4 linked regions of the Drosophila melanogaster genome follow. The protein of the gene in region 1 interacts with the protein of each later gene in a pairwise test. Each region holds a gene or a part of one and is shown in the gene's direction. Other genes may lie near its edges.

Region 1 (5,849 bases):
ACATCATCAGCATCATCAGCTTCATCGGCATCATCGTCGCCAACTGTTGACAACGCCTTGCTGCGGTGGCTGCGGTCCAGTTTCATTATTATTAACCAAAAAGTATAAAAACTGAATCCGAAAAAACCCCGACGGATCCCATTCAACGCCCACGTCTTCGACATTTGCCTGCTTCCACAGATTCATCCGTGTATCTTCGCGTATATATTTATTATAATTTTTTGCATCTGCCTTTTCTTAGCTGTAGTCTTTGTTGCCTCCTCCGAAATTTATGTGACCGCATCGCTGCCGTATGAATTTTTAATTTTTCACCAATCTTCATTTTTTTTACTGTTCGATTTTGTTTGCCTTTTTAATATTGGCAATTAATGAAATTTAATACTTTTGTGTGCACTGTCTGGCGCACAAGTTTTGGGTCGTTGGAATTTATGCTGGCCCTAACTTTATTTGTTGTTAGATTGAGAAAGTTGCGAGGTATTTGTCAAAAATTTAGGGGCTTTTTAAGTGACAGATTATTTGAAGATGATAGATGAGTAAAGGATGCGGAAAATCCAAAAAAAAATGACTACATATGGATGTGAAGGTCAAATTATTGTTTGTTTATGATAATAAATACAATAATCTTTGTGAACCAAACAACCTTTCAACATCGAGTGAAATATTGCATCACATTCCTCGCCTCTGAAAACAAAGTCTTCAAAATTGCCAAGTAAGCCAAGTCATTTTTCAGACTCTTCTTTGGAGGGTTCATAATTAGTTTCTCCTTCAAAAGGAAGCTCCTCACAATTGTCGATACGTCTCCTTTTCGAGTTTGCTGATTGGCCATTTAAAATATGCAAATTTGATCCGAAAAACAATAAGACAGATGGACACAGATGGAGTGAAACAAAAGCGAGGCGGACAGAGATGAAGCCATCAAAGTGGAGTTGCCAACGGATTGCACTTAAAAATGCCCAAAAGCAGTCGAAAATAATTTGTTAAGCTTTATGGACAGGCGAAAACTTAATTAAAAACAATCCTTTTCTGGCGCACCTAATTAAAAACACTGGGTGTTAAGTTAATGAAGTTTCTTGCTGAATGAACGACACAGTTTTTCAGATTTCATTGAGAAATCGTAAAAGATAAACAGATATGGTGAGGCACAAAAGATAAACAGACCATCAATATGGTGTTTTTGTAGTATTATTTTTTCGGGTCTAAAGAGGCCACACAAGCAGAAGAGCGACAACAAAGGCGGAGGCGGCAAAGCCAAAGGAAATGCGAGAAAAAAGTTTCTCAGGCCCTGAAAACAAAATGGAGCTCCACAAAAAAAGAAGATAAATACACTAAAAATTGAGCACTGCGTAATACGGTTGCTCTGCTCTGCCACTGGTTTTTATATTTGGCCTCTCGCTCGCTCGCAAAACGGGTTAAGAAGCAGTTAAAAAGGGGGTGAGCGAGCGAGACGGCGCGAAAGAGTGGGACAGACAGAGCGCCGCCCAAAGCCACGCCCACATCTATAAAAATATACACAGGTATAAGTGAAAGAAAGTTACCTTTTTAGCCAAACAGCAGCTAGAAAGACAGAGAAGAAGTCCGAGGAAATCCAAAGAAATCGCAAGCTTATTACAGCCCGCATTATCCAGCACACCTTTCACTCATTAGTCGCCTAAACTTAATTGAAATGTTGGCTTACTTAAGCTTAATTAACAGTCAACTCAGGTAACGCCTTCGAAACCACTCAACTCAGGTAGCCTTCTCTCGCTCGCTCACTCTCCAGTTTTCTCAGTTCGCTCTTTAGCTCATTTTCCTCCGACCAATCAGCTGAAACACTCAAAACTCGTTCTCCGCGACCCAAACAGTGCGTGGGAAAGGGACAGCCAACCGAGAGAGGGCTGTAAAAAAGAGGGTAACCAAAAAAAGGAAAACAGAAAAAGTTCAACCCATCAAGCTGAAGTTTTCGATCGTAACTTTGCAGTTGACTCTCGCGCACAGAAGCGTTCGGAAGTGAAATATATTTTATTAATAATATTACCCAACACAGTGCTACCAAACAGAAATTGCATACAATTTGTGTCTTGCCAAATAGCAAACGGAATTTCGTGCTTTCGCAATAGGTAAGTGACGCCATTTTGTGACTTTTACGCTTGGCTTCCGTTAGAAGAGACGCCATTTTGTGGCTTCCGTTTGCCAGCTTCTGTACTTACGCATAAGAACTTAGGGCGAGCGAAAGGGATGGCTAGCGAGCGCTGCGCATGAGCAGTAGCTTCGGCTACCGGTCTTCGTTTTGCTTCGTTTCTCTTCGGATGACTCACACACACTTACACACACTCACACAGTGCCACCGAATTGAGTAACAGACAGGGACAGAGCGATGATCTCGCTTCCTCAACTTGCCAGCAGCGACGCCGGCAGCGACGCCGACAGAGGACGGCGGCAGAGGCGACTACTATTTCTTTCAGTTATTAGTAGCATTCATTCATTCAACTTTGTGCCGCTCGAGCGTGCGTATATAGTTCCCTCTCATCAGTAACAGTATCAGTAACAACATCAGTAACATTTCCTTCGCGAGTACCTTCAAAAGAGATACAAATCGATCTATCCATTCAGCGGACATACGAAAATCGCACAAAACTCAGCTATAGAAATCGGTTAGCCTCTACTCGAGTCCGAAGAACGCGTAACTCCAGTGCATCCCATTGGGTAAGTCTTTCTTCAGCTCCTCTCTTCAATGGCGTTCTTCGTGTTCTTCTGTTCGTCGTTCTTCCCCCTTCCACACTTGTTTCGCTACCAGTTTTACGCCGCTTTCATTGGACAACTGAAAACTGAGCAAAGAAAAGAAGAAGTAAACCCCACACGTAACACGGGTGCGTGTATCGGCCTCTCTTTCTGCCCGGGCCTCTCACTTCGGCTCTTTAGTGTGCCAGAGGGAGAGGGGCGATGCGTCTAATATGGCATGCGTGTGGCCAACGGAGCTTTTCGGCCTCTGTGTGCGTGAGAAAGTGTCGCCATTTGCCAAAATGGCGGACGCCAAGTCCGAATATTTCCCTATTGGACTGTAAAAAGTTTTTACCCGCACTTCTTGACACGAATTCCCCAAAATGGGTGATCTACTTGAAATACAACCGAGTTTATTGATCTCTCATTGTATAGTACAAATGTGTTATTAATTTCCGAAATGAATGAAGAAGAAATAATTTGTATCTCATAAAAAAATGCTCATTAATTTTCGAAAAGAAAACTATTTAATATTATTTTCTATTAAAGTTGGTCTAAAAAAACATTTGAGCTCTCTTCAGAACAAATATAAGTTTTTATTGTATCCTAAACTTTCAACCTGTTCTATTTTTAAAGGTTTCAGTCGTTTTCCATTGAAATTGTCTAGGAATTGAAAACTCTTAAAGCCGTCGGCATTTTTTCAGATTGAAAGAATAGAAGCTGAGAAGTTTAATGAGTCAGCATTAAGAACAAAAAGCCTAGTTTGTCGAAGGTTGATCGCGGACGCACAAAACACGGCAAATCATCGCCAAGAATGTTTGGCATATCATCATCAGCCGTTTTGGTACAAGTTATTTGCCTATGAGTCATGGAGTTGTGCTTTTTTCATTGGATTATGAAATACCAATGAGTACGGCTCAAGCTAACAACAGATGTTCAAAAAGTTGCGTCAAAGTCAGGTACTTTGAAATACCTGAGATTTGGCACTTGTGCGAAAATTCCAATGAATCTGGTGCGAAATCGCAGAAATCAGAACCCATATTCTAGGGGAACTTTCTGGAAGTAGGACTAACATTTACAATATAGGGAAATTCGTTTAACATAGTTATACTGAAGTAAAGTTGTTGTAAGAGTTTCGTGACCTCTGAAATTCTTACTGCTTTCCCGCGACCATTTCTTTCCCGTCTGTCTGATCTTTGACCTCGTCTGGACCTCCCGCTGCGCTCCATCAATTAGAGTCTAATTAGCTAAGCGATTACGGTAAATGGGCTCAGCTGGCAGCTAATCTGCGCCGACTTTTGAGCAACTGTCATATCTTACGGGCTGAAGGTGAGAAGCGTCCGAAATCGACTTGCTTCGGCCACGAAATTCCCATCCGATTTGCGATGGATCTAGGGAAGATCGCTCATACCTTGCCGCATTGTATCTTTGTATCTTGTGGTGTGTTTGTGTTTGGGGTTACGAAGGTATTCCTTTGTTCGCACTGAAGTGGCAGTGCCACACATCCTAATTGTTTCCACCGACTTATTGGTTCTGTTGTCAGGCCAGGATCTCGTGTGTGTGGGTGTTTTTCCCGGGAATTCTGCGCCATTAGCACAATTAGATTCGTATCAAATGGACTTCGGTGCCTTTGTCTTCAGAGCCTTATGTCCTTTTATTGTCATTTTTTCTCGCTTCGGTTTCTTCTTTTCACTTTTCGGTTGTAATTTTTAATGGCACCTTGCCAACTCACTGTCCGCCTCCTACAAAAAATAAAGGGATGACCACGGTGCGAGGTGAAAGAAGTGTGGTAATCGCTTTCGACCATATCCCACGTCCTGCGACGTGTGTGTCACTGCTTTGAGCCCTTTTTTTGGACCCAGTTTTGAGCCTGTTATCGCCCATACCGCTACACATTTATCTCGGGGTGTTAAACTGTAACTCTCGAGGCGGCTCGAGTTTCGTGGAAGCCCCCGACGCACTTACTTCTCTTACCAGAGATCTGGCCATATATAATCTCACTCTCTGTTTGCAGTTTGCCATTTTATTTCTCTTTCCCATCGCTGCAAATCTAATTTCACGCAGCATTAACGCCTTTCGCATGCCCTTCACACGGAAACCCAAAGTCCAGAGTCAGGATCATGCTGTGCTGAAGATCTCCCAGAGATCTCCAGATTTTCAGATCTTCACATCTCAACCTTCCTGTCCGAAACTATGTGTGTGTGCACAACACTAATAATTTTCAGTGCGGATTAATGGGATTATCTTTGAGTTGGACAACAGTTTATTATACAATATTTGGGCAGTTTTCCCTCCGTCTCTGTGGGTGTTCGTTTTTCGCATAAGCGGATTGTAATGTCCAGTTGCAAAATACTAACAGTTGGAGACCGTTTAAAGTCCCGGATCGGAGAAGGTGCCAAGTTAAGCCCGTTTGGATTTGCCATGACTTTGCACAGGTTTTTAGATGGATTCGGATGATTGTTTTGCTTGGATTTTCAACGGATTAAAAGGATATACCAACTTGATCAAAAGATTAGGATTATAACTGTAGGAAGATGCTTTACCTTTCAGTTTTGCTGAGTTAATATAATGAGATTGACTTTACCAATATGGATAGACCATGTGCCATTGGACACCTTTATTATTGGAATGCCCCAGGCCAGCTAACTTAACCTTCCAAATTGATGGGCTCACTCAATTGTCAGCTCGAATTTCACTGTTCTCGAAGGTCTCCCCCGCCCATTTTGCCCCATCCCCAGACTGAAGACAATTCCATCGTCATTCGACGCATCCAGCAAATGGCCAAATAGAGTGCTTAACCCCGGAGAGCAACCCGTGGCTAATGGTGCTCCACTTAGGCCCACGCTCCCAGAGACAAACTTAATACAAGTCCACGTCCAAATGCGAGTCCGAGTCCAAATCCAAAGCAAAGCATGGCCAAATGCGAGACCGATCGAGGCGGAGAGACCCGGACCCAAAGAATCCATATCGAATGGATGGCCTTATGCAGGCGCCCTGTGTCGCATGATTAACGGCGTTAAAATGCCAATGTGACGCCACATTGTGTACACAAATTAACATTGGAGGAGTCTCTTTTGGCCAGGCCTTTGAGCCGATCTTAGCCGAGTCCCAGTCTCCCACCAGACATGACCAATGCGATCAGCGACCCAGGC
Region 2 (6,621 bases), on another chromosome or scaffold:
ATAATGACAATTTTATCTATAGCTTTCTATAGTAATTAACCAGCGAGTGACTGCAGAGCGCCAGCACTTAGTTTTCGGTCTTTCGTCTCAAATCTGGGTTTGGCAGTCGAACTAGGGTTCAACACTGCAGCTGAGGTGTTAAGGGATAGAGCTACAACCAAAATAGCAATAAAGAACTGTGCGAAAATTTTAAAAAATATTAGATTTTGGAACGCAGATATGATTAGTACCAACACACCAATTTTACTGAGGCCATGTTGATATCCGCTAAAGAAATCGAAAACTATACTAAAAATGTGTAAAAGATCTCCAATATATATATGACTGGTATTCAAGGCCGCATCGAATGGGTTCGTTTCAAAATTTAAAACTGAATCAAATTCGTTAACATTTTTTACAAGGCTTACGCAATGAAAAAGACTAATTGACCTTTGAAAATGTAATCCTTAAGACGAAGATGATGAACCCAACATATGAAAATACTTATTCGATCAATTCACAACTAATACGAAAAGGAAAGGATTTTGCATTCGGAAGATTATTTTTATTTCAAACTTCCTAAATAGAAGCATTCATTAGATTACTTATTTTACAGTCGGGGTTTTTTTTTTAATGTCTATTAATGCTGCAGCATCTGACATGCGATAACACAGTTGTCCTTGACCTAGTTGTAGAACATAAACATAATAGATGCACATCAAAAATGTTTATTTATAAGATCGGTTAAGTTTTAATATGGCAACGTATGACAGACATTCGTAATACAAACTTGCGTAAATGCATTCAGGAGTTCGCAGTTTTATGATTATTTATCTGATTACATATTTTAGCCTTGGTATGTTTTCCCACTGGGGACGTGCGAGCGTATCTTGTTTAAATATTCTTTGGTCTATATTTATAATAATTAAACAAAAAAAAAAAAAATATCTAATTATAAAACAATACTTTCTTCGATGACTATAAATTTGATATACCTAGAGTTCAAATAAATATTTTAAATATACTTTGAGATCATCTTGAGATACTTGTTTACTCTTTGTTTCTCGCCTTTTGGCGATGTTCGTCTAATACTTCCCGCAATCGCTTGACGAAATTAGCTTGATCTCTCGGAATAAAGCCCAGGAAGGCGTTCCTCGGGGACGAATACAGCAGCATGATAACCTTGCAGACGACCTCGGAGGAAAATCGGGCACAGCCACAACTGCCGGCGGACATTGATGATGCTAGCGAGTCGTGTTCTTCTCCAGGTGTCGATCGGAGAATTATAAGTTTCGAGTCCTTTATAAACGCTCCGGCGAACTGACCAAGATAAATTGAAGGCATCAAAACCATAGGCATATCAGTTGGCCAATCCTCCGCACTGATCCCGGGATCACCGTTTTTTATAGCTATGTACACGGAACACTCAAGCTTGTGACTAATGCTTGGCTCCTCTAAACTTGCTTGTGTCGACCAATTCAGCGATCCAGTCCATAGGAGTTCATTTATAATGGCATCTTCCTCCACAGGAGGCGGTTCTTCTGGCTGTGGCTGCTTGGGTGTTTTGACGCCCGGCTTTCGTTTTGCACCCTGAAGAATCTCCTGCAGTCGTTCGCTAAACGAATCCTCATTGTTGGGTATGAAGCCAACCAAAGCTTGATGATCGCGCGAGTAGATGAGAATTAGAGCCTTGATGTTGCAGTTGGGATTGGAGGGGAAGTGGATGCAACCAGCGAAACCAGAGCTCATCGCCGTGATCAATAAATTGAGTACCTCTCCTTGGCTGGATCGGAATACAACCATCCTGGCATCCTTTAGGAATTGTTCGCCAATTTTACCCAGCACTTTTTTGGGTATCAGTTGTGTTTTCAGCTTGTTTGGCCAGTTCTCCGTGTTGATCTCCGGCTGACCTTCTTTAACCATGGAGCAGATTTTGCATTGGACCGTGTGCAGAGTCTTCGGTTGATCCAATATCTGTGCATCCTCCCATTCGAGCTCTCCACTCCAAATTGTTTCCTTTGAGTCACCATTTTCAGGATTTTCCGGTTCTTTTTGCAAAAGCAACGCCCCAATCATATGTGTTAGACAATCGAGTTCCCCTTCGTCATCACCCACTCCTCGGGCTTCCTCTGGAACCGGCTCCATGCCCCTTTCAAGATGCAATCTAATTAAATATGGATTTTGTCGGATAGGCAACTTGTCGGTTAAAAATTTGTTTATCTGTGATATGCTTCTTCTTGCTTTTAGCGGTTTGTTATTGGTATCGCACTATCGGTTGGCTGGTTGGTCGATTGGCGGCCATCGAGATGCAACGCAATGCAACCCTGGCCAATCACTCTCACTTCTTCTTCTGCGTTTGTGTCAAAACAAAATTAAAACTAAAAACTCGCTAAAACCGTCTCGCAGCGCAATTATCTTTAGACTTCGTGTTATTTATGTGTTTGAATGTTAGCGTCGGCACCCCGCATCCCAGTGTTCATAACCCCATGTGTGCCACCTTGGTTTAAATGCTACCAATCTCCTGGCAGAGTAGCGCGTCTGAGCGAATAAAAAAACTGAACATGTTTCGCTCCAAGCACTTGTGATTGACCAAATCTCATCTAAAGCCCTGCCATGCTGCAGTACAAGAGTGCCGCCAGTGCGGCGACTAGTGCGCCACCCGCCACGCCTTTGGCGGCAGGCGGTTCCAGCAAGGCGACGATTCCACCAAATGGAGCTAGTGCAGCAGCTTCACAAACGCAGGTTCACGGTGCTCCCGGGACACCAACCATGCAGCAGATCATCAACATTCACCAAATGCCTCCTCAGTTTGCAGGCGGAGCGGTTGCCGGGAACGGACAGAACGCTGGCATGCCCCAAAACATGTTCCAGATCGTACAGCCCATGCCCATGCAAACGGTGAACATTGATGGCCAGGAGGCCATCTTCATACCAAACCTCAATGCACAACTGGCCACCGCTCAGGCGGTCAACTTCAACGGGCAACAGGCCTTTATCACGCCCAACGGTCAAATTCTGCGGGCTCCCCAGATGGCAGCTAATCCGGCAGCCTCTAACTGCATTCAGCTGCAACAGCTGAACGGCTTGGGCCAGGAGCAAACCCAGCTGATCACCATACCCGGCACCAACATTCAAATACCCGTCACCAATCTCATTCAGCAACAACAGCAGGCACAACAAGTGCACCAGGGTACAGTGCAACAGCAGGCACAAGGAACAAATGCATCTGGAGCCAATGGATCGGGAGTTACCAATAGTGGGACAGCGGGTCAGCTGCCGGGCAGCATCACCATACCGGGCACAAACCTGCAGATACCAACCTCGGTAGCGGCGGCGAATGGATTGCTGGGAAACATCTCCAATATCTCCAATTTACTAGGCGGCGGGCAATCTATAAAGTTGGAGAACGGCCAATTGCAGATGCGGCCGCAACTGGTGCAGTTTCCGGCGCCAGCCATGCCGCAGCAGCAACAAACGGTTGCTGTGCAGATTCCCGTTCAGACTGCTAACGGACAGACCATCTACCAGACTGTACATGTGCCCGTCCAGGCAGCGGCAACATCGAGCGGCGGACTGCAAAACCTGATGCAGGCGCAATCCCTGCAGATGCCCTCCGCCTCGCAGATGCAAATCATCCCGCAGTTCTCACAGATAGCCCAGATTGTTACGCCCAACGGTCAGATTCAGCAGGTGCAACTGGCAATGCCGTATCCTCAGCTGCCTCCGAATGCCAACATTATACATATCCAGAATCCCCACCAGCAGCAGCAACAACAAGTACAACAACAACAACAGCAGCAGCAGGCGCAACAGCAGCAGCAAGCGCAACAGCAACAGGCACAGCAGCAGCAACAACAACAGGTCCAGGCGCAGCACCAGCAGCTCCTTCAGGCGATCAGCGATGCCTCGGCGGGGGGACAACTGCCGCCCAATCAGCCCATCACCATTACCAATGCCCAGGGCCAACAGCTGACCGTGATTCCCGCCCAACTACGCCCAAATGCGCCTACCGCACCCACTCCTGCTCCAGCTGGTGTGCCCACACCAATGCAGATGCCCAATCTTCAGGCTTTACCCATCCAGAACATCCCAGGCCTGGGTCAAGTGCAAATCATTCACGCCAATCAGCTGCCTCCTAATCTGCCAGCCAACTTCCAGCAAGTACTAACCCAACTACCCATGTCGCATCCTCAAGTGCAAACTCAGGGCCAAGTTCAGGTGATGCCCAAGCAGGAGCCGCAGAGTCCAACGCAAATGATCACCAGCATCAAGCAAGAGCCGCCGGATACCTTTGGACCCATTTCCGCAACTGGTAATCCTCCGGCACCTGCCTCTACTCCAAACACAGCCTCACCGCAACAGCAGCAGATCAAGTTCCTGCATACGGAAAGCAATTCCCTGTCCAGCCTGAGCATACCAGCCTCCATTCAGATCACAGCCCTGCCACAGCAAGCGACGAATACACCGAATACCCCAGCCACAACCCAACCAATTCCCGTATCGTTACCTGCAAGAAGTAAGGTCAACGCTGTGACCACGTCAAGCACCCAGATTACAATTGCGCCGACTGGTGGCCAAGTGGTGTCCGTCACGACGCAGGCTAGGGGAGCAACTGCCAGCATAAGGAGCACGAACACCAGCACGACGACTATAACAACGCCGTCACAAAGCCATCTCAATATGAACATAAGTGTGGCCAGCGTCGGAGGTGCTGCAACTGGCGGCGGCGGTGGAACAGCGACTGGAGAGCCCAAACCACGCTTAAAGCGAGTAGCCTGCACCTGTCCCAATTGTACAGATGGCGAAAAACACTCGGACAAGAAGCGCCAGCATATATGCCATATAACCGGCTGCCATAAGGTATACGGGAAAACTTCCCATCTAAGGGCTCACCTGCGTTGGCATACTGGCGAGCGACCATTTGTCTGCTCCTGGGCGTTTTGCGGCAAGCGCTTCACCCGCTCCGATGAACTGCAGCGCCACCGACGAACGCACACGGGAGAGAAGCGTTTCCAGTGCCAGGAGTGCAACAAAAAGTTCATGCGCAGCGATCACCTGTCGAAGCACATCAAGACGCACTTTAAGAGCCGCTCTGGCGTGGAGCTAATTGAGCTGAGCATCAAGCAGGAGACCAAGGGTGGCAATGCACCGAAAAGCATTAGCACGGTGAACGGCATTGTGACGATTGAGATTCCGGGCGGCGGTTCAGCGGCGGCGGGCAGTGGAGCCTCCAGTGTGGCGGCCACGGTTGCAGGCTCAACTGTGACGCCGGGCGGGGCCACGATCGTTCAGCTGCCGACTGTGGAGGCCAGCGGCGGGGGTGATAGTTTCGGCGATGATGAGGACGACGAGGAGGATGATGAATTGACCGAAGAGGACGACGAAGACGAGGAGCTCGACGAGGACGATATGGATGATTGCGAGGATGAGGAGGATGACGAGGATCCAGAACTAGACAGTGGCGATGAAGTGAAGATGACAATTGCGGTCAGTGAGCCTGGCGACAATTCGTCCAACTAGCATTCGGAGTCGCTGTTCATGGAACAGTTCTTGTTTGACCACTTCCCGTAGCACCCACCGCCCCCTGCCGCGCCCCATGGGACCATGGTTTAGCAATATATAAATTGTACATAGCGTAATTATGTAAAAGCGAGCATTTTAAATGTTTACCCTTCTTGTACAGCTCCGGTTGCGGATCATCCTAGATTAGTGTACATAGCTTAATCGACCATCGTATTTTAATTAAGATTTTTATTATACATTTTATAACATTTTTAGGGATTACATGTTTTTAATTAATTAACACCAATAAATGAAGAACTTTATATAGTTTAATATATGGACATCAGGCTATTGAGGTGACGTCGATCGGCTCAGATTCTGTATTTTGAAAAGTGATAGTTCCTTCCGAATCAATTGACGGTCCAATCGACAAGCTTTCCGAATTAATTTGATCACACCTTACCCAGCTCTCATTCATCTCTGTCTCTGGACAGTTTACCTGATCGTCAGGCTCTTGAGTCGACGTGGGTCGTACTAATGTGCTCAATTGGGTGCCAAACATATAGTAGTCCGGATCAGACTCCGTATTCCGGAAACTGTTATTTGCTTGCGAATTTATACATCCAGTCCGCATCCTTCCTAAATTAATTGGATCACATCTCACCGAATTCTCATTAATCTCTGTCTCTGGACGGTTGATGTTCTCATCCTGAAATCCTGACTGCTGCTGTTCGTCCTCATCGTCTCCGATGCCGCTAAGATCAGATGACGACACGCCTGGCGGAGCCATCGCTTCCACTTGAAAGTTCATTTGAGACAGTGAACTAAGATTTGTGTTTGCTTGGTCCTCGTGGCTCTGCACCGCGTCATTAGAAGATGCATGAGCGTCTGGAGAGGATTCTGGTGCTGATAGGTTTTGACTCTTTTTCTTTTGCCATCTATCCAATCGGCTGATGTTCTGCTTCTTAGTCTCGGCTGCAACTATTTCTCTTCGCTGGGCCACAAACTCCTCCGGATACGGTTGGACCATCTTTCTGCGCACCGCTTTCATATACATTCGGTTGATGAATCTCTCAGACTTGTTCACAAAACGTCCTTTTGCTTCAAACCTCTTTTTGGCTTCCCACAGACAATTCCAAG
Region 3 (4,697 bases), 920 kb from region 1:
CAGTCGCATCTGGACAACTGCGTCGAATACCAGTTCGTCACGTTTGTTACCGAGGTGACCAAGTTGCTCGAGATTAGGCGACAGAAAATGGTCTCGCCGCACGAGTTCATCCGCCGCATGATATTCGCTCTGCACAAAACTTGCGCCTGGCTGCAGGAACATTCCATAGACTCGCTTCTGGCCGAGAAGCTCAATCAGGTGAAGGTGTCCAACGGTGAGAAGATAGCTGAGCCGCCAATTCCCATAGATATACCCGATCCCCGGCCGGTGCAGGAACCATCTCTATTCGACTGTGCCAGCGGAACGACGACTCCGATCACGGAGGAGAACAACGTGCTGTACGCCATTGAGCGCTCTGAAAGTTGCCATTCCCAGGGCACGCCGACGGTGAAAAAACCCATTCCCATTCGCGGAAAGGCGGCGCTGGGAATCGGGCTGGACAAGCACAGGGAGAGAGCCACGTTCCTCGAGAAGCTGCAACGGGCCGCTGTCTCTCCTGGCACAGTTTCGCAGGGTCCAGCGCCCGTTTTCTCAGCCCGCTGCGGGCAGTGCAATTTAGAATTTGACTCAGTCTCCGAACTGGAGGTGCACAACCACAATGCCCACAGGGGCAATGAACTGAACGCCGACGACGAAGCCAAAAGGCGTCAAATAATCGCCCTCTTCGAGGATGATATTTAGGTTTTACAAAGTCCTGTTTTTCATGCCGGTGGCTCAATCAAACTAGTAATCATGTTGACCACTTTGCATCTGTGTTTTTGTCGTATTGTATTTATTTATTATTTATTTATTTTATTCTGTTTCCATTAGTGATTTAGTTTTGCTTAGCGGCAATCCATGTTCATTTACAATACATTCTCGAGTACTCAAAAGTCCGTGGCTTTATATTTATATGTACTCTAAGACCAATAAAGAGATTTGCAAGACTTATTCTTAACCATAAGCCTATGCGTATATTTGCAAGCTATTCAGTACCAGGTTGGAATCTGCTACCTTCAAGTGCAGACAGTTCTTGAGCAAGCGCATCGCGTCCAGGTTGAGATCTGGATCTCGCAGAGCGAAGAGCTGGTTTAGGGTTTGCACAAGATTCTGCGGGTCTGCCAGTGCGAATATTAGACTTGTGTCACCTAGGGCTACCAGATTGGTCATTACACGCACGGCGTAGATTAGGCACAGCCGGTCGGCTGGCGATGCTAAGGTGGCTTCAAAGAAACGCACCAGGCATTCGGCCTGTTGAGCATCTAACTTGTGCTCCTGTGTCACTATTTCCAGTTGGTGCACTATGTACATGAAGTACTCGCTGGCAGGCTGGCCGTGGAGCTTCTCAGGCAGATTCTGGCCAATGTACCTTCGATCCTCGTCACTCACATGCTGCGGGCAGCGGGTGGCCACCAGGGAGAGGCAGATGGCCGCATCTTCTTGGCAGCCATTGGGCTCGATGTAGAGCCTCCACAGCTTGGGTACTATTTGCATTTGCAGCAATACGCTGCCGGCCTTGTCGCATGTGCCCAGAACGTTGGCCAGTGTCCACAGGCAACTGCGCTTGAGGCGTTCGGCCTTGCCATCAAGGTAGGTGACCATGTAGCTGCCCGCCAAAGTGACAATCTTTTCGGAGACATGGGCCTCGCCCAAGGAAAGATTACACAAGCACTCCACGGCATCTGTCTGTCGTTGAATGTGAGGTCCTGAAAGTCAAGTCAACCTTTTTATATAAAACTAAAGCTAATGAGGGTGCAGTTGGTTACCAGTTAGCTCCTTAACCAGAACCTGAATGGCGCCAGGAATAGCTGCGAATGCATTGATGTTGTCATTGCTCTGGAGGAACCCCAGCGACAAGCGGCACAGATCCTCGGAGGTGGCGTGCTTGCGACGCTTGATCCTGCTGGCCATTCCAATGACGTCCTTGGTGCCCATCTCAAGAGCCGCCACTTCCTGCTTAACCTGTCCAAGTCCAATGCGCAATGAGTCTTTCGCCTTTATGCGGCACTCAACACGGTGATCCTTGGCATATGCACGAATCTTGTTTCGCAGAAAACTTCCCTCCCCAGTTGTCGTCACAAAGTCCATTTGTTTAAATTTCATGGAATCCTTAGCAAGTGAGCAATATTCCGATAATAATAACAGATTATCGATAACTATGAAAGGTTAACAGCACTTCACTCATCAGCTGTTAAAATTGTAAACAAAAAAGGTACGCACTTGTTTGTTTATATTTTATTTGGAGTAAGTAATGCTTATTTAATTTCAGGTCAATGGTGGTAATCTGAGCCCGGAATCGATGGATAAACATATTCAGTGGCACCCAGGAACCCGATTTTTCATATGTGAATTTATTTTTATACTGGCAAAGAAGTTCGGCGAGGAGATTCATTTCCTTTTTGTGCCTTTTTAATTTAATTTTTCTATGATTTCCACGGAAAAAGTCCAGTGCTCCTTCTGTCCAAAATTATTCACCACTAGCTAGGCGAAAATGTGAAAAAACTATACGAAGATAAATGTTTGTTTTTCCAAAGAAATTTATTTCAATTTTATATTCTTCAACAGGTAAAGGATATCGATATCCGATAAGAATTTTCCCATCAAAACTTGGGCTGACCACCACAGGGCGACCCTTGCAAGTTTGCGTTTATCTCAGCTGTTAAATATGGTAAACACACCTTAGTTTCAAAAATCATCATTTTGATAAATAATTTGAATTTCGAACATCGATAATAAATCGATTTAGCATATGGCCCAGAGAATAGGGTGCCCAGTGTACTGTGCACAATGTGAAGTTTAGCTTATTATTATTTTGAATTGTTCATCAAGGCAATCGCATTAATTTTCAATTAATTGGGATGTATGAAACGGATTCCTAAATTATAAAAGATTGCTTTTCCAGCTATAAGCTATTTAGTATATACATCAGGTAAGTAATATAGTCCTTCATAAAGTTCAGCCTAATAAGTATTGTTTATTACAGGGATAATGGCGGAAATATGCCGAGTTTGTATGGATATTTCTGGTAAACTCGTTAACATATTTGACGCCAGACGAAGAACCAGAGTTTCCATTGCCGAGATGATCGCGCAGTGCACCGGATTCGAGGTCAAACGTGGCGATTTGTTTTCGGAAATGATATGCCCACAGTGCTATGAGGACGTAAAGAGCGCGTATGGGATAAGGCAAACTTGTGAGGAAAGCCACCAGTTCTACTGCCGAGTTCGCGATGAAGGCATCGAGGATGCTTTATGCGCCTTGCTCGAAGAAGAAGACTGGGAGATTTCGGAAGACGAAGATGCGCGGATTGATTCTGCATCCGCTGCTGATGACGATGGGAAAAGCGACAGCAAGAAGGTAGCATTCGAATGTCGAGAATGCCACAAGAAATACCAGCGAAAGGGAACTTTTCTGAGGCACATGCGAACACACATGGACGGACAATCCTTCCCATGCCCCTACTGCAAGCGGAACTTTAGACTTAGAGTCACTCTCAAGGCGCACATGAAGACCCACAATGCAGCGAAACCCTACGAGTGTTCCCACTGCGCCAAGACCTTTGCGCAGCAGTCCACTCTGCAGTCGCATGAGCGAACTCACACTGGCGAACGACCATTCAAGTGTTCACAGTGCTCAAAAACCTTTATTAAATCATCCGATCTCCGGCGTCACATCCGCACACATGGCAGCGAGAGACCGTTCAAGTGCTCCAAGTGCACGAAAACATTTACGAGGAAGTTTCACCTTGATAACCATTTCCGTTCTCACACTGGTGAACGACCATTCAAGTGTTCCCACTGCCCCAAGGCCTTCGCTATGAAGCAGCACCTCAAGCAGCACAGCCGCCTGCACTTACCAGATCGTCCATTTCGCTGCTCCCACTGTCCCAAGACTTTTCGGCTGAGCAGCACTCTCAAGGAGCACAAGCTCGTACACAACGCTGAAAGAACATTTAAGTGTCCTCACTGTGCCAGTTTCTATAAGCAGAGAAAAACACTTGCTAGACATATCCTCGAGATACACAAGTGACCACTACTTTAAAAACACTTGGAAGACATATCTTCCATGTGCACTACTTTAAAATGGACAAAAATGATTTTGCTAGATGATAAAATAAGCTAACATATTCATAGGTATTGTAAGAATAAGGCATAAAATTGGTTGGTAATGAATATGCCTATTTTGATATGTTTTATGATGGAATAAAATGTTATTTATATTTGATTGAACCAAAACAAAATTAATTAATCGACTCCCTCTCACGCTGCCAACACTGGCCATTTCTCGCATATCCAACTACAGATGATGATCAGCTGTTTGTTGTTTATGTGGGAGCGGCCTGAGAAATTGTAACAAAAAAATTTCGGAAAAGCTGAAAAAATGAACAATGATAATCCGAATATAGTTTTCAATCCCCTGATAAGCTCCATCCAAAAAGTAGTGCTCTATGAGACACGAGCGGTAAGAAATCACCTCCAGCTGACCTTTTTTTGACTAATCACATATATCGCCATAATTTCAGCGCCTCTATTTGGTGGGCAGCAACAATCGGGAGACTCGGTTTCGCCTCCTGACCATAGACCGACTTGCCCACAACCGGCTGAGTATCGAGGAGAATGCCAACGAGTTTAACAGCCTGGAGATCCGACGTTTTGTCGCTTCCCTTTCGGGTTCGCCCAAGGTGACGTCCGCTTATGGCGTCCTTGGATTTGTGCGCT
Region 4 (4,285 bases), on another chromosome or scaffold:
ATGCATTGAGTGTGCTGGGTCCTCGAGTCCAGAGGTTCCTCTGGTGGAAGCGCTACTTAACTGGCCTCCAGCTGGTCCAGTTTACCATTATCTTCTTTTGGGCATCACAATTAGTTTTCCGGGGCTGTGAGTACGGAAAATGGTTAACGCCAATCGGAGCTGCCTATATGGTGCCATTTCTCTTTATGTTCGGTAGGTTCTATGCTCAAAAATACTGTGTTTCGGCAGTTGTAAAGAAAGCCAAGTAAATATAGCAATCGAATTTGTTAGTAGTATTATAGAAGGGGTTTCAATTGGTTGACTAATTTAATTAGTTATTTGGGGACACAGAATAAAAAGAACGTACAATTTCTATGAAAATACAATTTGTTTATAGCTTCAATGTGACACTTTCTGTGGTTATAGCATTGTATATAAAAGTATTATCGATTGGCTTGTATTGCTTCGTAATGATCTTGATCACCTCCTGGGCAGCGCAGCCACCTGAAAGGAATTAGCAGAATATAGTATCGGTCAACGCATAAACCAAATGGAATATTTACCAATAAAAGCAGACACTGCATGCAACTCAGCTCCGCCATATCGACAAATCTCGTGCAGAACATCATCGCTGATGGTGGCGTGCATTCCCAAATCGCTAAGCATCTTGGCGGCAATGCTCTTCAGACGTCCAATGTCCTGCTCAACGATGCACTCGCCGGGAATGTTGCCACACTCGCTGAGGAAGCGCTCGTAGGCGCGCAGCGCAAAGTTGTATGCCGTGAGGTTGCCCTGCAGCTCGTTGTCCTCAACTGGAAGGCAAGGAAAGGTAAGTCATTTAAGGTTGTTCCAAAATAGATAGATAGATCTTTACCCAGTGGTAGCAGGCGACTGCTCTTCTCGTACTCCTCTGCAATGCGTGTACCCCTTATGACCGCCAGTCCGGCTGCTTCTTTGCAAATGAGACGCACACTTCTCTCATCAATGCTGTCGGCAGGCAAAGCCAACTGCTTAAGGTACTCCTGGCACTTGTGATACACCTGGTCGGCGTCTTGCAGCGCCTGTTGGCGGTAGATGTGCTGCAGGGCGATATAGGAGTCCGTATTGGCAGTCATGTCCGGCAGAACGCCAGGCAGAGGGAGATGGCCCTCATTCTCATGTATCACAAAGTGCTTTAGGGCCTTGGCCATGATCCAAAAGACGTTGCTCTGTAAAAAAAAAAGAAAAACAAATGAAAGTAAAGTATACGTATAAATTCAGATTATATGGGCAACCTTCTTGTTTAACTGTTCGCAGGCATCATCTTCGAATATGGCTTTCAGGCTTTTGGGAACCTGTCCCGCTCCAAAGGCTGTATTGACCGCCTTGATGGCCTCTTCATAGTTTTCCTCATCCGCCTTCATCTCCTCTCTAATGGTCTCCTTCAACTGATTCTTCTCTTTGTAATTTCGAGGCGTTTGAGTCCCATCCGCTTGTTGTTTTTGCCACACATTAAGGTATTTGTGAAGAACCAGCAACCAGGGCACCTTACTGGTCACCTCGGTGCCGTCGAGATGCTCCCGCAAAGCATCGAATGGATGCTCCAGACGCAGATCAAACTGTCGATTATCCGGATGCGCCTCCACGATGCAGTGTTCCCGTATTTGCAAGCGTATTGTGCCCAGCATGCCAAGCGATCGGCAGTAGATTAATGGAACGTTAAGCTCCCATAACCGTTCGGCCAGGAGAAGCAAAGTCTGCTCATTGAGATTGGAGGCAATCACTAAATCGAAGCTGTCGAAGAAGTTCGGTCTGTTGGCTAATAAAAAGTCGGCACTCTCGTCGACATAATCGCCATTTACGTCGGGATTGAGTTCCTGGAGAAGTTGCATGCAAGCCAATGCTTTAGATTTGCCCAGATAGCTGGAATCGAGGAAGAAACTACGGAAAAAGTGACTTTATAATGGTGGTCAGGGAATGTGTGATGGTCTACCGACTTGTTGCCCAGATCCTCCTCCTTGACGGTGCTGCCATCGGCCACAGTGAAGCCTCCGATACCGGGTAGCACCAGTCCCTTGGCAGTTTCACAGCCGACGGCCGTAACATTCACCAAACATACTGTGGCTGCCTCCAATAGCGTCTGTCCATGCTCTCCCCACAGCCTAAATAGGTGTCATCAGTGCTATGCTTCCGAATTTATCAATTAAAACGCTCCTCACCTGATTTGTCTGTCGTATTTCTTGCTTTTATCCGAAAGCTCTGGCGATTTGGGGGCTGGCGAGGACATTTCACTAGATTTTTGTGCAATAATAAGCCGGTTGCAAATAATCCAGTACTGTAAAGCGCCGGCAGCCAATACTTCTGACACAATTTGTTTATTGGGTGGAGTGTTGGAAAAAACACGTTGGTAATTTTAACTGTTGCTTATTTAAAACATTTATTGACTATTACGTATTACATTTCATTTAATTTTATTGCATTAAACTACATCTACGTACAAGCAATCAGTCTTTACAAATAAAATGTATAAACAGTTGAGAAATTAAAAAGTGAAAGTCTGAGCAAACCAAATAAAGTGTCTGGTTGACAGTTTTTGAATAGCATTCCATGGCTATGGTTTTGGGTGAGTTTTAATATTGATTTTCAACATGCAATTAATTTAATTAAATAATACCGCTAACTGTTTGTTGGCTGGGCAGTGTAGGCAGCGCATTTTGCAACACTGGGAGGGCTAATGAACAGCTGTTTTATCGTGTAATTTCACAACAAAACAACGCATACATCGCTGTGTTTTCTTCTGCATTTCCGTCCGATTGCGATCCAATTTGAACTAAATAAATATCAGTATTATCACGGAGATAATGCCGGCCAAAAAGAGAACTGCCGCGTCGACCAGCAAAAATAGCGATTCGCCATTAAGTCCGCACACAGACGATCCAGCGTACAAAGAAAAAAGAAAGAAAAACAATGAGGTAAGTTTAAGAGTTTTGGATGTAAACAGAGAGCAAAGATTGGGAAACATGTTGCTGTGGCGCCGTGGCCCCCAGAAGTCCCCAAAAATAGATGCCCACTATTGATTTATTACTATTCTCGGAACAGGCTGTTCAGCGCACACGCGAAAAGACCAAGAAATCGGCCGAGGAACGTAAGAAACGCATCGATGATTTGAGGAAGCAAAACGATGCTCTTAAGGTTCAGATCGAGACGAGTGAAAAACATATATCTACGCTTAGAGATCTGATCATTCAGGGTGAGAAAACGGAGGACGGCCATCGAATCATCCAGGAGATTCTCGCTGAACCAGATCCCGATCCCAAGGACAATGACTAACGAGGAGCTTCTCCTGATTTACCTTCTTATATTTTCATACTTTTAAGCCATTTCCCATGGTTGTTAACCATGTGTATCATCTTAGTTTTTCGATTAAAATGGTGCAATTGCTCGAATTCTATTACAAAGACAAGCACTCATGCAGACGAGAACAGTGTTTGTTAAAATCCTACATAAATGGTTTTCATTATTGGTGAGTTTTTATCATTTCTCACCAAATACTTGTTTTTGTTGTACTTTTCTTTTACTTTTGTTTATATTGTAACACTTAATCACTGTATCCATGTTGCACTGAATCTAAATTTTAAAATTATCTATATTTAGTAATAGTGATTTCTATTATTTTCGACATGATTCATACAGCTAAAATCATGCGAGTCTTGAATCAAATAAAGTGTCTATTATGATTTTACCCATATCAGTGTTATTTTATACCCAATACTTCAGCTGTTTACAACTACTACTACTATTATTATTTCCTTGAAAGTTGATGAACTCATTAATCAGAAATACAACCCAGATTCCATCATATACATATGTTCTACGTTTAAGTAGAACTTCCGGCAAATTAGATACTAACCGTCGTAAACGTCCAATTTCTCCATGTGTAGGCTAAAGACCTCGTCCATTTTCCGAGATATGAACATATGAACTAAAACTATAGCTATTGAGAAAGTGTCGTTGTGCCGATAGGTTTTTGGTTTCGGGTGTCCCGTTAGGTCTTGCTCTCTTTGCTTTTGTTGTGGGCGCTCCTTCCGTCTTCTTCTTTCAAACACTCACAAAAACATTGATTTACTGCACTTTTCGCACATTCATTTGATGCACAACTCGACGGCGATTTGATTTGGCGGGTGGTTGGTTTCGTGTCGAAATGGAAGTTGGATTGTGGGGCTTTTTTCGCGTTCAATAAATTGCCGTCTTCCGCTAATTAGCACCACCCGCACACTGATTCCGATTCAATATCAATTTGAAGTTGCTCACATGGCACGAGGCGAAA

Evidence for each region.
Region 2: the proteins of drm (region 1) and Spps interact in a two-hybrid assay, tested with the Drosophila melanogaster proteins (one large-scale study listed by BioGRID).
Region 3: the proteins of drm (region 1) and Paris interact in a two-hybrid assay, tested with the Drosophila melanogaster proteins (one large-scale study listed by BioGRID).
Region 4: the proteins of drm (region 1) and Irbp18 interact in a two-hybrid assay, tested with the Drosophila melanogaster proteins (one large-scale study listed by BioGRID).

What each region holds. Positions count from the first base shown.
Region 1 is NT_033779.5:3,537,296-3,543,144, forward strand, and holds the start of drm (drumstick), read left to right. Parts: upstream 1-2,437; 5' UTR 2,438-2,682; intron 2,683-5,849. UniProt on the Drosophila melanogaster protein: Putative transcription factor. May function redundantly with odd and sob in leg joint formation during the larval stages, acting downstream of Notch activation.
Region 2 is NT_033777.3:24,222,627-24,229,247, reverse strand, and holds Spps (Sp1-like factor for pairing sensitive-silencing), read left to right. Parts: upstream 1-2,313; 5' UTR 2,314-2,592; coding exon 2,593-5,499; coding exon of another isoform or gene 5,500-5,550; 3' UTR 5,551-5,803; downstream 5,804-6,621. Other genes in the region: Acp95EF (accessory gland protein 95EF), read right to left, coding at 36-176, 239-256; CG13609 (uncharacterized protein), read right to left, coding at 1,030-2,124; cav (caravaggio), read right to left, coding at 5,825-6,621.
Region 3 is NT_033779.5:4,460,879-4,465,575, forward strand, and holds Paris (parkin interacting substrate), read left to right. Parts: upstream 1-2,732; 5' UTR 2,733-2,908; intron 2,909-2,962; 5' UTR 2,963-2,967; coding exon 2,968-4,008; 3' UTR 4,009-4,197; downstream 4,198-4,697. Other genes in the region: CG15435 (uncharacterized protein), read left to right, coding at 1-681; CG15443 (uncharacterized protein), read right to left, coding at 946-1,685, 1,746-2,082; FIG4 phosphoinositide 5-phosphatase, read left to right, coding at 4,360-4,440, 4,502-4,697.
Region 4 is NT_037436.4:11,096,645-11,100,929, reverse strand, and holds Irbp18 (inverted repeat binding protein 18 kDa), read left to right. Parts: upstream 1-2,743; 5' UTR 2,744-2,788; coding exon of another isoform or gene 2,789-2,819; coding exon 2,820-2,930; intron 2,931-3,057; coding exon 3,058-3,288; 3' UTR 3,289-3,484; downstream 3,485-4,285. Other genes in the region: Elo68beta (elongase 68beta), read left to right, coding at 1-248; APP-BP1 (beta-Amyloid precursor protein binding protein 1), read right to left, coding at 371-483, 543-791, 854-1,187, 1,254-1,899, 1,956-2,120, 2,178-2,245; CG33947 (uncharacterized protein), read right to left, coding at 2,789-2,838, 3,869-3,917.